Rhinolophus ferrumequinum: one gene and its partners. The protein of the gene in region 2 interacts with the protein of the main gene of each other region in a pairwise test. Links are inferred from orthologs where the notes say so. Each region holds a gene or a part of one and is shown on either strand. Other genes may lie near its edges. The genes, in order: MAPKBP1, ADAMTSL4 and LONRF1.

The links.
Region 1: the proteins of ADAMTSL4 (region 2) and MAPKBP1 interact in binary tests that used the Homo sapiens proteins (3 or more experiments, as listed by UniProt). The two-hybrid records come from large-scale screens. The link is inferred for Rhinolophus ferrumequinum from reciprocal best matches to the Homo sapiens genes ADAMTSL4 and MAPKBP1.
Region 3: the proteins of ADAMTSL4 (region 2) and LONRF1 interact in binary tests that used the Homo sapiens proteins (3 or more experiments, as listed by UniProt). The two-hybrid records come from large-scale screens. The link is inferred for Rhinolophus ferrumequinum from reciprocal best matches to the Homo sapiens genes ADAMTSL4 and LONRF1.

The regions. Positions count from the first base shown.
Region 1 is NC_046289.1:63,619,971-63,625,030, forward strand, and holds the start of MAPKBP1 (mitogen-activated protein kinase-binding protein 1), read right to left. Parts: upstream 3,449-5,060; 5' UTR 3,324-3,448; intron 2,782-3,323; 5' UTR 2,693-2,781; coding exon 2,579-2,692; intron 1-2,578. UniProt on the Homo sapiens protein: Negative regulator of NOD2 function. It down-regulates NOD2-induced processes such as activation of NF-kappa-B signaling, IL8 secretion and antibacterial response. Involved in JNK signaling pathway.
Region 2 is NC_046305.1:50,815,218-50,820,277, reverse strand, and holds the start of ADAMTSL4 (ADAMTS-like protein 4), read right to left. Parts: upstream 2,648-5,060; 5' UTR 2,543-2,647; intron 217-2,542; exon of another isoform or gene 194-216; 5' UTR 80-193; coding exon 60-79; intron 1-59. UniProt on the Homo sapiens protein: Positive regulation of apoptosis. May facilitate FBN1 microfibril biogenesis.
Region 3 is NC_046287.1:69,225,108-69,230,167, forward strand, and holds the start of LONRF1 (LON peptidase N-terminal domain and RING finger protein 1), read right to left. Parts: upstream 3,411-5,060; 5' UTR 3,308-3,410; coding exon 2,587-3,307; intron 1-2,586.

The DNA of each region.
Region 1 (5,060 bases), on a different chromosome or scaffold from region 2:
TCGTTTTCAATGAGTTCATTTAATATTTACAGCATACCTTACATCGTACTAAACAGGTTTATGAAGAAGAAATAAAGAACATGACCATGGACCTTACGAAATAACGATATACATAAAAAAACAATTAAGAGATTGGTTCCAAGGTAGTGGGGCTGGTCAGAGAAGGCCCCGTGGCTCCAATAAATATAGAGTTGGATCTAAAAATAAGTGGAGAATTTGGTAAAAAGGCTACTTTAGACAGAAGGAACAGTATGATTCAAAGCAGCAGGCCATCTGAGGTTAAGAGCTGCATAAAAGCCCTCTGTCACTTCTTCTTTGCCCCTCCTGCCCCCCCAAAAGGCATAGATCTTTTGGCCTTAAAATTTTATTTCAGAGTTAGTTGTCCATGAATCACAAGCTCTCTGACAGTTACCACGATTACCTACAGCCACCACATATTAGAGCAGCTGACAAAGCCTTATACACCAAGTCCTATGTGGGTTACCGTAAGGCAGGCTTTTAGAATCATCTTAGGTAGAGAGTCTTCAGGAAGGAGTGTGGAAAAGCAGGAATCTGTAGGGTCCTAGGCACACAAAGACAGCTACTACTTTTGGGTGCTAAAGATATGCACCAGTACTCTTGCTCTGTCAAACTATTCAAGGGTCATTCAACTTTAGCTAAGTATTTCCTTCATTCACAGCTCTGGGACACACAAAGCCATTTAAAGAATCTGAAGCACTGAATTCCTATTTGAAACACGGTTGTTTAATGGTGATGCCTGGGATGCCTTTTTTCACTGTTTTCCTGGAGAGCTTCCTCTCTTGTCCTCTTGCCTCAGGACTCACAGTTCAAGCATCCCTTCCTCCGTGCAGTCTTTCCTAATTCCCTAAAGCTGATTTGGGTTCCCTCCCCTGTGCTGCCTTTAACACCTTTTGCATACTTCTAGGACAGCACTTACCACATCATGTAATTATTTGTCTACAAGCTTGACCAGCCACAAGCTCCTTGATGGCAAAGATAGTTTTATTCATCCCTGACTCCACACATAATAGGCACACAATAAACATTTGTTGAATGAATTAATGATGAATGACATGGGAAATTTTAAAGAATGGTGGCCATACCTTCTGAATCCCAGACCAAAATTACATTAAGGATTAGCACTGAAGACTAAACTCCCATCATACATTTATACTACCTATACTATTCTGGGTCGGAAAAAGAAGCCATAGCTATGAGAAGATTGCTCTAATACGTAGTGATAGCCATTGCCACGTCACCAGTCAAGGATACCAGTGCTTGCCGTACTAAGAATGACCCAACACGACAAATGAGTGAACAGAGTCAAACCTAAGAACATTTCTGAGTTTCAGGCTCATTCTTTTGCCTCTGAAGAATACGAGCAATGATTAATTAATAGGAGTCCTTGGAAAAGTCACTATGTCCACTGCCACGGATCCTCGTGGCTGATTTCGATTTAATATGCCCTCTGATGAAACATACAGGAAAGTTGTTCACCTTATGACCAAATCCAAGTAAAGTTCTGCTAAGGGACAGGCATCTGAATTAAGTCCTTCCAGAACCCGGCCATGTTGTACATTAGCATCTGAGTCATTCCTTATTGGCTTAACTCATCTCTGAAGAGATACAGGCAAGGCAATCAAATGCTGCTGTCTCAAATGCCTCTCCCTACAGCAATCCTGTACCACGCAAGGCTACTGTGCTTTCTGGCTGCTAATAACGCACAAAAGTCTAACGTGATCCTGTGGAAAACAAAGACCTAGATTCCCTCAGGGATTAAATAAATTTAGTCTACTTTTGTATTCCCAAAGATGCTGGGCGAAACAAAGTTGAAGAAAACAAAGTTGAAGAAACCAACACCCAGACAGCTTGAGGGGATGGAATGGGATTTGGCCTCCGAGGAACTTCTGCAACTTGGTGTGATGTGACTCTTAGCACATAGAGAATGAGATACGCAACGTTCAGGGCAAACCCGGAAAACTGTTTTGAGGCAAGTATTTAGCTCCTTGCATGTTATCATTCCTACGAAGCCAAGAAGCTCCAGTTAAATTAATTTACGTCTCTTGAAGAGACAAATAAATTTGTTTGACCCTAGGCAAGAGCATTTGCCAAGCCAATTTCTCAGACTAAGTGTTTGAGTGTATTTCTTTCTGCTACTACTGTCTTACATAACCTCGCTGTGACACTAACACTTGCAGCTACATTAGTCACAGCTTAGTCCTTCACAAAACATGTGGTCCCATTACCCTCTTCCAGGAAGGGAAACTGAGTCATAGCATATTGACTAGCTTCCCCAAACACAGACTTAGCTTGTCATGAGGCCACAATTGAATCCAGGTTGCCTTTCTCCTGTTCCTCTTTTCATGAATAAATCTTAGCATGTCCACCCCTGCTGCTCTTTTTCATTCAACCTAAAAGGACATCATTGCTTTCTCGAGAGGCAGAGATAGGCACACTTGATCCTTTGGAGCCAACAGGAGCCTCTAGAACTCCTCTTTCCCAAGAAAGAGGAAGAAGAGGAACATGGAGCAGAGGAAGGGAGGATTGGAAAGAAGTGGCTCCCCATACCAGGACTCACCTTGGAGCTGAGGTCCTCTCGGCGATTTCCTGCCTTACTCCTGCGTAATTTGATGGATGGGGATCGCAGCAGGTTCTTGATGCGGCTGGTAATGGTTGACCCTTCCACAGCCATGACAGTACCTGGCCCAATCTTGGGACTTGTCTCAACAGCAGCACTGCCTTTCCACGCCAAAGGGTCTTCCAGTATGCCCTCTCACTGACCTGAGATGGATGGTAGAGGCCACCTTACTTTCTGCCTAGCAGTGTCTGCAGCTCTTATCTCTAGGTATTGCCCTTTCCCCTCTCCTCGTCCCCACCTTCAAGCCCTGTGCGGTTCCTTTCAACGTTTGAAGGACAGACCCGTGAAAAGGGGGGTAAAAACTCTGAGCTGCAAAGAAATGACAGGCCCATGCCGGCCAGAGGCGTTTAAACTGGAGGGATGGATGGGATCTAGTAGGGCTAATGGCTGGTCTGGTCACCGTTAATTTCAAAGTGCTCCCATGGCAACTGCAATGTCCAAGGAAGGAGGCCACCGACGAGTCCCTCCGGGGGCCTGGGCACCTGCGCTGGAGGCCGCGAGGACACTCGGCGTGACGGGGCTCGCTGTGGCCCCGCAACCCGCTCTGCCTCGGGAGCCTCCCTCCCCCACCCACGACCCTCTGGAGCTCCCTGTCGGCCCCCCACAGGGGCCCTGCACCTTTCTTTTTCACCTCCCTCAGAAGCCCCTGCTACTCGCCAGCGCCCCCGTTCGGACCCAGCCTCACCAGCCCCGGGGCCCGAGGGCCGAGCCGCTCACAGCGCCCTCAGGCATCGCGCTCGGCGATTTCAGCTCCACAGTCGCAGCAGCAACAGCAGCAGCAGCAGCTATGGTGGCACCAGCGGCTCAAAACGCGAACTACCGCCTGGGCCAAGTTACGGGCTGGGTAGGCGGGGCCGAGGCGAGGAGGGCGTTCCCAGAGTGGACGAATAACGTCTGTGGGGGCGGAGCCAATGAAGCGCCTAGGAAGCTGAGGACCTGGGACTCGAAAACCACGGATTCCTCACAACGTAGTCGCGGGTATCGCTCTTAAAGGAAGATCTACAGAACATGGCTTCAGAATTGAAAGAACCAAGCCTTTTATGGTATTATGAGACCTGGCCCCCCAGAGTACTGCATTCCCCGGGGCCCCAAGGATAGTACCACGCCCCCAGGGTGCCACAGTTGGCATTTGATAGGCCCGAGGGACCAGAGCTGAAACTAACTCCTAGCTCAGAATTACAAGATTGAGACACAGCCATAAGTCTCTGCTCCCATCGACCCCAAGTGCTGGGACTTAAAGCGGTTAGAATAGTTGTTCGGCAGCGCGTTAACCTACGTATAAATGACTCTCTGGCGTAACTTTTTCGATTGCTAAGTGTTATTAACTGGGCAACCTGATTGGCCATGATGGAATGAAGGGGAGGGAGATGATTGCCTTGAATAGAGCTTTAGGCGTATCGGGGAGAGCAAAGACAAGTGAATGTGCCTACGGGACAATTTGTTTCCTGGTTTCTTTAGTCTCTTATGTCCCACCGCGCTCTCTCACCCAGTTAAACAGGACTTTGTTGCTCCAGATCTTTTCCTGTTCCTGTCAAAATTTACTCGTGAAACCTTTTCCCTAGTACTATTTTAGCGAGGTCACTGTCAAGCTTGCTGATACTAGATTTAGTGGTATAGTTTTTCTAGCTTACGGGGGTTGGGGGCGCGTTTACAGTATTATTTCACAGGTGTCACAGCCTAAGAATTTATTTTCTAAGCCTGATTTTCTGCCTCTTCGCTACTTCAAGAAATTACCTTATGAAAAGGTTAGCCTAAGCCAAAACACTGCGGCCCAGAGAAATAGTACAGCGATGTAACTGTCTCACCCTACCTAGATCCTTGGAACCCCTGGGGGATGTTAGCAAGAGGGAAGGACCCCTAAACCCATTGCTGTGCATGTCTTGTACAGCCAAGTGGCAAACAGCTTTGTGCTTGTGTGTATTGTACCGTGTTTCCCCGAAAATAAGACCTAGCCAGACGATCAGCTCTAGTACGTCTTTTGGAGCAAAAAATATAAGACTAGCAATAGCTATCAGTGGCATGAGGTATCCCCTTTCCTTCAACCATGCACTGCAGATGTAACGAAAAGTGGAATTTTCATATTTCCCAAATGTGGACGAAGGAGGCAAGAGCCATTAGGCACCACAGTATGATATAGGGGGTTGGCTCTTTCAACTTGCTAGTTTGTGATTTTTATCTCAATAGGGGTAGGAGCCAACATAACACTAATAAATGGTGCCACCTGGTGTCCTTACCCGTGTGCAGCATTCCCAGAAACTGCCATCTCCATCTTGGAGTTGTCCCTAATTCGCTCCAGATTGTTTGTGTCCACTAGTGGTTTTCTCACTCCTGGCCAGGTAAATGGGTTTACAAAGTGTCATTGGTCATTTCCTGTCCAGCACTATACTAGTTTGTCCCCTTAGAGAAAATGTTCCCCAAATTA
Region 2 (5,060 bases):
TCCTTTCCCTCGCTTCCAGGGTCAGAGCCATCCGTTCACTCCGGCAACCCACCTCTTACCTGTCCACCAACTTCTCCATCGCTTCTCCTTGACTGCTCCGGGCAAGGGAGGAGGGGACCAGAAGTAAACACACTACTCCAGCATCTGGACGTGTAGGCGTGTGCTCTGGTGATTACCCCTGGTCTCCAGAAAGCTGGGGGTTGGGAGGGGTGACTCCTCAGAAGGAAAGACATCTCGGAATGAGGAGGGTGGGGTGGGGGAAGCCTGGCCCACCCCTTAGGATCCTAAGGGTGAGCGTGAGAGGGACGCGGCCCTTGTCCAGCTGCTGAGGCGAAAGGGTGGGAGTCTCAAGCTTAGTCTCCTCCCCTTGGCCCTGTAGGGACTTCTCAGCTTCTCCCTTATCCAGGTAGGCCAGCTCAGGCACGGGCATCTTTCTTAGGATGGTTTTCATCTGGCCCCCACTCCCGCCCTGCCCTCCCAGAGGACCTGCGAGGAGGAAGAGGGAGGCTCCAGGGAGGACATGCCAGACGCCCCCTCGCCCCCTCAAGGAGCTGACATGAAGCCCCTTGGGCTTTCTGTTGCCTAGCTGCCTCTCAGCCTTTTCTTCCCTGAGCTAAGCTCCTCTGGAACACTCAGGCATCACAAAAGTGCTTCCATCACTTTTTAGCCAAGGGATAAACTAAGTGGGCTGATGCTTAATCTCTAAAGAAGCAGGTGATTTGCCCACTGCGATTTAACCTCCCTTTAGGAGCCAGCATCCAGCCTTGGTTCAACGAGGGCTTATTTCAGGTGCCACTATGATGGACTGGGGGTACCTGGGAAGGAGAGATGCAGCTAGAGCTGCCATCGCTCCCCAACCACAGGCCTAGCATTCTGAAGAGTCCAGAAGTCCATCCTGAAGTCTAGCGTGGATCAGTCAGAGAAGTGGCACTTGGAACCCTCCCCTGGTCTCACAGCCCGATTTGCCCACTGCTTCCCCTTACCCTCCAGCCCCTCCTGCTCAATACCAGCCCTTCCCACCCCCACTTTCATCCATTAGTTCTGCTTTCCAGGAAAAAAAAAATGTTTCTGTTGGATCTGAAAGGCACCCGGGAAAGGAGTCCAGGGAGCCAGTGCCGAGGTGGGCCAGCCCAGGGGCCGGAAAATGACAGAGGGAAGCGCAGGAATGTGCGTGGGGATAGCAACACTCAGCCCCACTCCCCTCCCTGAGACCCCAGGACTTGGGAATTTCGGGGCAGGAGGACAGTGGTTGAACCTGACCCACAGGGTCACCCCAGCTGCTTGCGGTTGGGGAGGGGGTTGCTGATGGCTTCGCCTTCCCCTGGCTGGGCTGACCACTGAGGTCAGCAACCCCGCCCTGATGGGGGCGGTGGAGGGGCTCCAGAGAAGGGCCAAAGTTCCACCCAAACCTTCCACTCTCTGCCTGGCTCAATCACTTGAAGTTGAAGGGGGTGAGGATCACTGCTGGCCCTTTCTCTGCTGCGGGGTCCCCTCGCCACGCCCTTGCTGCTTCCCCAGGTCTGTATCTTGCTGTCTCTCCATGGGTCTACCCAGTACACATAGTCCTGTCCTGAGCTGGGCTTGGCTTTGGCAGTTCCCTGGAGAAGTGAGGGGTGGGGGGTGGGGGTGACGTGAGCTCCTGGGGCCTGGGCCAGGCCTGGCTCTCTCTCTGGAAAAGTCCTACCCCAGCCCCCCTGCACAGCTAGGCAGGGGGCCGACACCCTCTCCAGTGTGGAAACAGGACACATTTTGTGCTTCTCACCCCTTTTCATGTCTCTTATCTGGTGTCTCTCACTGCCCAGGGTGAGGAAAGGGGAGGTCAGAAGTGGTCACCAGTGCCAGGCTGGACACTGGTCAGGACAAACCTGGGCTCCTCCTGGCCACACCTCCACACTGGCCAGTGAAGATCAAGGAGGAGAGACATGGGCAGGGCTAATCCCTTCACCCCCAGAGGGACCCACCTCTGGGAAATAGGAGGCTCTGCTGGGGCAAGGGCTAGACGACACGTTTCTGGCTGGCTGCTGCGGAGAGTCCCTGCCTTGGGTAGGACTCCTTGGTCCTCACTATGCCCTCCACTCCTGGGTCCCGGAGGACCATCCCAACAGGTGTCTTTCCTTCTGCTCATCAGGCTGAGCTGGATCACCGGCACCCACCTGTTGCCCTCTCAGCGCCCCTGTCCCCCAACTCTAGGAGCGACGGGGGTGGAGGCACATATCCTCCAGGGGAGGGCAGGAGGCGCCGGCGCGTGCGGGGAGGTCCTAGGTATGTTTTCCAACTTTACTATGTGACTTAGTAGGAATTTTGGCTGATTCTCATCCCAGATGACAGGGACAGAGTTCCACGGGATCAGAGCCCCCTCCCCAGGAATTTGACCCCAGGGACTGGAAGATCTTCCGAGGCTGTAAGAGCTGGGGCCGGGGTCGTGGCTATGGCGCGACCTGGGGCGCAAGGAGCGGGGGCGGCGCGGGTGCGCGGGGCGGGTGGCCTAACGGGACCCGGGAGAGAGGGCGCCGGGGCCGGGGGTCCCAGGGAGGGTCTGTACCTGCTCTGCGCGGCCCCGGCGGCCCGTTAACCCCTCTGCGCCCGGGCGCTCTCTCGAGTCAGCCTGACTCCGCGGCGGCCACTGCGGCCCCTGAGCCCGGCTCGGGACACTGCCGCCTCCGGCCGCGGCTCCGCCCCCGCCCCGCCCCCGCCCCGCCCGCCACGCGCCCAGCCAGCGCCCCTCCGCGGCCCCCGGGTGGGGGCGGGCCACCCCCAAACCCTCCTCGCCAGGGCCACCCACCCGGGGCTGCGGGCCTTGGTCACCCCTGCGTGCGGGGCGCCTACCGATGGCTCGAGGGGGCGAAACCGGGACGGTCCCAGCCGGTTCGGCGGCAGCCGTCTGCCGGGCACTGCCCTTGGGCCCGTGTGCTGGGCCCACTGGAGTTCGGGACCCCAGGACCCCGGCCTCCGGATCGGCTCCGAGTGGGTGATGCGAACGCCGGGCCAAAAAGTTTGGTGGCGCCTGTCCCGGAGCGACGCGGGCGAGTCCAGGCTCCAGGTGGGGGCTGCGTACCCGGCTGGCATGGTCCCGCGCGACCCCAGACCCGCGTGGGTCAAGGCGCTCTCCTTCACGCAGCCTCTCGCGCTAGCCCGGGCATCCCTGTCTCTCCCAATTTGAGTCGTGCATCGTGCGCTGCTGATGGCTCAGGGACCTCTAGATGAGCCTCGGTTTCTTCACCCATAAAATGTTATACACGGGGCGCAGTGGGACAGATGCGCTGACTCAGCAGTCACGATCTGGATTTGAATCTCAGCTCGAGCACTTACCTGCCAACTCTGGGGGCCCTTCTGTGCTGCAGTTTCCTCATCTGTAAAATGGGGCTAATCTGAGATATACATATATATATATATATATATATATATATATATATATATATACACACACACACACACACACACATACATATATAGTAAGCTTGGAAATGTGTCTATATCCATTCATATTCGGAAGAATGCACCCCAAACTCAGACTATGTGGCCACAGCTGAGGAGAGGTGTGGGGTTGGGGAGGGAAAAAACGGGCTTTCGCACTTTACACTATATGTTTATGTGTTGTTTGAATTTGTAACCATAAGTGTTATTAGTTACGTTTAAAAATAAATAATATATATATATACAATGGCTGGCATAGAGTAGCTAATAAATGGTCACTATTTTTAAATTTTTATCTGCCATTTACTCACGAGCCACAGTCCTGTATTTTCGGATCTACTCAGTATTCCAAAGCTTTTGTTTTGTTCAGTGACTTGTCAATATTTTAAAACCAGGATATTGTATAACTTCTCTTTAAAAATTAAAGACATAGGGGTGGCCGGATGGCTCAGTTGGTTAGAGCAGGAGCTCTGAACATGGTTGCTGGTTCGATTCCCACATGGGCCAGTGAGCTGCGCCCTCCACAACTAGATTGAAGGACGAGTAGGAGCTGATGGGCCCTGGAGAAACACACTGTTCCCCAATAAAATTTTTAAAAAATAAAGACATAAAAACAGAAGTTCTAATCAACGTTGTTCTGCATCCCCATAAAATAACAGGGTTTCAGATGCTCCCACCCAACTAACAGTGAGCACCTTTGGTACTTGGTGGTGAGGCCACAGTTAGATGATAATCTCTGGCCTCGAGGAGCTAGATCTAGCTGGGGACAGACAGCCATGGGCACATAAATACTGGACTCAACATTAGCAAATGTTATCTCTAAGAGATGAGGGAAGTGAAAATATAAAAGCCTTTTAAAATGCAAGAACTGGATCCTTATTTGAAGTTTAACGTGCATATTTTGTTTCCTCAGTAAATCCCTTTTTATAGATTGCATTTGTGTTTTGTTTTTTTGTGGATTTGTAGGATTAAAAGAAATATTTGAATTGGAATGTTATAGAACGGACAAATGAGTCCCAGTGCCCAGGCTTGCTCTCCAGGCTTCTCCAATCAAGCTCAGAGGTGCATAGGCAGGTGGGTAAACTGGCTGGGGACACCCGAGATCCCTGTGATTTTGTGGCAATGCAGGACAATGTTACTAGTGCTTTTATTTTTCTAATTTTGTTTTTCAAGAGAAGTGATAAAATACTGTTTTTAAGATATTGAAAAGTCACGACAACAACAACAAAACTTTTAGACACCAAGGTCAGGTTTGTCTGTAGGCCTCAAGTTTTGCCTCTCCTTAGAACACTCTCAGTCTTGCTGGGTCCTGTGTTTTCAAAGAGGTGAATGCCCCCCTCCCAGGAGGGGTGGTTTATCTAGGGACTGTGGGTGACACACAGTCCTAACCAAGAGGCATATTTATAGTCATGGATTTGGAGCGGGAAGCCCCTTTGCTCAGACCTCAGAGTACAACGCAGGTGACGAAATGCCCAGCCCACAGGGGCACAGAAGATATTTTAGGTCAGGGACCTTTCAGTGCCCTGCAGTCACACCCCAGCGGCATTCTACAAGGAGGCAAGTTGCCGGAAGATGGCCCTGAAGACAGCAGAGTGGGAAGGGAGCCGGGAGGATGGAAACGGTCTGCCTTTGACATTTGTAACTGC
Region 3 (5,060 bases), on a different chromosome or scaffold from region 2:
AAAAAGAGTATCCTCATTAGTACCATTCAGACATATTTTCACGTATGGAAGTAATGATTTTCCAAAGACCTAAAAATGAGGGGAAAACAGCTAATGAGATGAAAGTCAGGAGGCTTGGGTTCTAGTCATGCAAAAATAGGATTAAGTAGCTGAATGGGCAAAATTTCCATGTGCCATCTATGGAAATGGGAAAAAAAAGTAGATCTTACAGAGTCTTTTTTTCTGTTAAAAATAGTATCCTCAATCCAAGGCCCAGAATCTTCCTTATGTTAATTAGTAAATGTGCTTACTCTTCTACCATGGATTAGGACCTGAATTCTTATGAAGCAACTACTTTAAGAGGTCAAATCACTAATCATAATACTAGACAGTGCTGTTGATAAATTTCATCCTTTATTTTATACTAATGCCAAAAAAAAAAATCTTCCTTGGAAATTTATATTAAAAATTTTCATTGGATGAGCTATAAAGGCAGGATGAGTACTCCAACATTTAGAACTGGAAGGAAAATACAGTGTTCCCTCTACAACCAGTTAGCTGTGGGCTCTGGACAAGTCATTTCACTGCCCTAGATCCTGCTTCTTCACTTTCAAAATAAGGACCATGGCCTTGATGGTCTGTACCACCCCTCTTAAAATCTGTTCAGCCAAAGCCACAGAGTTGTCTGTATCAGAATTTTGTATTCCAAATAGTTCTTTTTTGTTCTGGGTTTAACATCCCCATAAAAATAGTGAAAGAATATGAAAACATGCCAAGTTTATGCTTTGAGCTCTAAAGGTGTTAAATAACTTGATATATTCTAAGCAAAAAGGTCTAATAAGCACTTAGAGTAAAAGAACCATAAAAAAAATACTTTCAGTTACATAGCTTATAAATTTACCTAATATCTAACATCAATTTCTATTTTATAAGACAGGTATGGGTAAACAGAAACCAGCCTAGGGGGTAGTCTTTTGACTGGGGGGGGGCTAAGGGGGTGCTCTAACTTAAGTTTACACAACAAAGACTGTGATAACAAGTTTAACCACACCTCCCCCCACCCCAATAGGCAAAAGGCAATGCTGAACACAATAGAAGATTCCACTACAGGCCCAAGCAAATTACATCCTGGTTAGAAAAGTATAAAATCCCAGCTAAACAGAAACTCAGGGCAGCGGTCTACTCCACACTCTGGCCCTGGCAACTCCTCTGCCAGTGTTTCTCTTTTTAAATAAACTTTGTAACTTCTATTCCTTTGTGCCTCTTGAATTCTTTCACAATCCGGGAGCTAGCAACCGTGACATTTTAGATTTCTATTTTCTTGGGGATTATTTTCCAAGTATTACTTCAAGTCATCATAGATGCTAAGCTTGAAATACGCTGATTTAACACAAGGTTTAACAATGACACTGTTGACATTTGGGGCCTGGCGATTGTGTGGGAGGCAGTCCTGTGCATTTCAGGACGTTTAACAGCATCCCTGGCCTCCACCCACTGGATGTACCAGCACCAATCCCACAAGGGGTGGCAATGAAAAATGTCTCCAGATACAGTTCCAGATAATGTCCCCTGGGGGGTAAACTCCCCCAGGCAGAGAACAACCGATTTAAATAACAATTCTTCATTTTACATAGGTAAGTCTGAAATGTCCCCTTCCACAGCCTAAAACCACCTTAAGAAAAGTGCTAAGCTAGGTTAGGTGGCCGAAGCTGCTTCTCCGAGGTGAAGAAATAGACAAAAGATCTAAAGGCCTATCCCCACAACTTGATCAAGAGTGGAAAGGCAAACAGAAGCGTGGCAAAGAACTCGATGAGACTACCTCTTTATCTTGGACCGTGAATTAGGTGTATTCGAAACAAAGCACATATATGTTGATGAAATAAGTATGATTTCAAATAGGCAGGTTGAAACTATCAAGAGGAACCAATTCCGCAGGCATTTTCAGGGAAGGCTTGAACACCCCTGGGCAGCTCGGACACCCGCCCAGAGCCGAGTGGCCAGCGGGGCCCCCGGGTGCTGGGTGCGGGCGCCGAGCTCCCGCCACGCCCACCGGACGTCACCCGTTACACAACGCACCCCCCCCCATACACACACAGCTTATGCAATTCTGCCCTCCCGCGGCTTCCAAATTGCCCCAGTGACTTTTGTGGGAGACAAAGGTAAACGTTGCCCGCCTAGGATCCTCTCTCTCCGCCCCGGCTGTCGTTTGCGGAGCGGCCAATTACCGGAAAGAGCGCGGCAGGAAGCGAGCGGCCGCTCCGGCTCGCCCAACTCCCACCCATCCCGCGCTCCGGCGCCCTCGCCCCCACTCCGCTCAGGAGGCGCCCGCCAGACCGCAAGGCCGCGTCCGAGGGAACCCCGCGCCTGTGCGCCCCTCCCCGCGCCGCGTCACAGTCGGCTCCGACGGCGATCCCCATTGTGACCGAAGCACCCCAGGGCGCCGCCCCCTCCCATACTCTCGAGGAGCCCGAGACCCGACACAAGGGAGTCAGGCAGCCTTGGGGAAGCAGAGACACCTCCCGGGGGCACAGACGAGCTTGGGTAGCTATCCCATCCCGACAGGAGGGTGGGGTCGGCCGGGCTCGCGCCGCATCCCCGCGCAGTCACCTGCTCGCAGCGCCTCGCAGGCGGCGGCCAGGGCCTCCCGGTAGCGCCCCTGGTGCAGCAGCTCTGCGACCCGGCCGGTCGCCCGGGCTCGCTCCCGCTGGCCCGGGAACCACTTCTCGGCCAGGTGGTTGAGGACGACGCTGGTTCTGAAGCCAGAGGTGGCGATGGCGGTGGCCAGAGGCGGGGACCGCGGAGCGGTGCCCTCAGCATCAGTGGCAGCGGTGACGGCGGGTGGCAGCCGGTCCCGGCAGAGGCGGCAGCGGGAGCGGAGCTCTCTCCGCAGGCAGCGGCGGCAGTAGCTGTGGCCACATGGCACGGTCACCGGCTCGCTCAGAAAGTCCCGGCAGCCCAGGCAGCTGAGCAGCCCACCGGCGCCGGAGTCCGCGCCCGCTGCCGGGGTCGCGCTCCAGCCCAGCCCATGGCGGAGCCGGTAGTTGAGCACCAGGCAGTCCACCAGGGTGCCCAGGCACTCGGGCCTGACCGGGGCCCCTCGGCGCAGCGCCGCCGCGTACGCCTCCAGCGCTCCCTTCAGGTGGCCGCCCAAAGCCAGCAGCTCGCCGCGGCGGAGTAGCAGCTCCCAGCACTCCGACTCCGCGGCCGCGCGCTCCAGCCGGTCCCCGCTGCCGCCGCCCAATTCCCAGAACCGGCCTCGGCTCCGCGGCCTGGGGGCCATCTCCCGGCTCCCTCCGGGGGAGCTCCTCGCAACGGCCGGAGAAGACATGGCCCGCAGAGGGCTGCTCTGCCGCCGCCGCCCGCCGCCACGGTCCCGGAGTCTCCCCGACGCGCGGTTCCGCACGCGGCCCGCGAGCAGGGGGGCGTGGCGCGCGGACACGGCGGGGCGGCGCGCGCCCGGGAAGCCCCGGGGGCGGGGCCTGGCGTGCGCGGGGTGGGGCCGGGCTCCGCTAGAGCACCCGCGACTCCCCCGCACCGCCGCCGGCCGGGTCCCCAGGGGGCCGACTGGCTGGCCCCGCCCCTCCCGAAGCCCCTCCTGGCGAGGGACAGGAGGTCAGATGATCCACCAGCGGGGATCTAATTGGCTTCCCCCGAAAGAAGGGCCTGGCTTGTAACTGAACAAAGCCCGAAGGAGCCCAGACCTTCATCGCCCTCCCTTCGCAGCCGAAAGCCCCCCACCTGCCACGGCTTCTCCCCTAATGCCTGCTTCCTCGGCGGTCTTCTGCCAAGAGGCTGGCCTCGTGGGACTAAGCCCTAAATCCCCGCCCACCCGAGTTGGGACCCGCGCCCTTTGTGAGAGCCTCCGGCTGTAGTGTCAGGGTTGTCAGGTACAAATCTGCATTTTCATTAGTTTATGCCCAAGTTACAGATAGACACGTAGAGGGCCTAGGAATGCGTAAAGTCAGTCTGATGACTTTGTGACTCCTCAGGTCTAGAGTCGATCAACTTGAGAAATAATATAACCCCACCCACGTTCCTGAGGTGACTCCTTCCAGAGGGCAAGACAGTATTCCGTGGTGCCAAGTTACTGTTTTCTTTGCTGTTTAAAACTCACCCCCACCTCAAGGGAGAGAGCCCACACGTTCCCGAGGTGTCAGTTCTACCCTCCACATCTCATTCACTGCCCTACAGCTAGCAAAGACCCATATTTGGCGTTTTTGAAGAGTAAACACCAGGATGAATGCTTTTCACATAGTTATCACCGTATAACTAGAACCCAAGCAGAATCTGCAGTTCTGCTGACAAAAAAAGATCCGTTTCTATATTTTCTTTAAACTTTATGGCAGTGAGTTTAAAGCTCTCAGTTGAAATATTTACAGATCTGATTATAGGGTTCTAGATTGTTAATGCTGGAAAGTGACTTAGAACTTTTAGTTATTTTTTGAATGGTTAGAAACAATGGCCCAGAGAGGGCAAGTTATTTGCCCAAAATCACATTGCTAATATTATACAGAGGTTTTAAGATCACCTAACTCTGATTCTACTATTATGTTACCATGTTAGAGCTTAGAAATACTATTTTACATGAGATTTTCAAAATAAGCTGCTAGATGGAATGTTAGCCTGAGCATGCTATGTCTGAAATCGGCCAACGTTTAATATCCATCTTTATACAGAACAGGTAATTGCGCTCAAAAGTGCTTTGAGTTACATGTGTTTTTACTACACAATGAGCAAATTGTGTAACTTCGGAGGAGATGGAGATATATTGTCCCAAAAGGAACAAGGAAAAAGCTAACTGAGGAAAAGCTGAGGCTTTTGTTCCAAACAGTGTGCAGAGGCAAACAAGTTTATCACTCACGTCAAACCCCGAGCAAATTACAGCTAAGACCCAAGGAGCAACTTCTAGTCATTTGAGGTGGGGAATATTGGGATTAATTCATGAGCATAATCTTGAACCTAATTCTAACCCCCTAAATTACTACCTTCCTTCAATAAGCAGAATGACTTCAGTCAGATGCCCACATACTCACTGAGACTTGAAACCATAAGTGGTACAACAGGTATCCTTAGGTACGTGG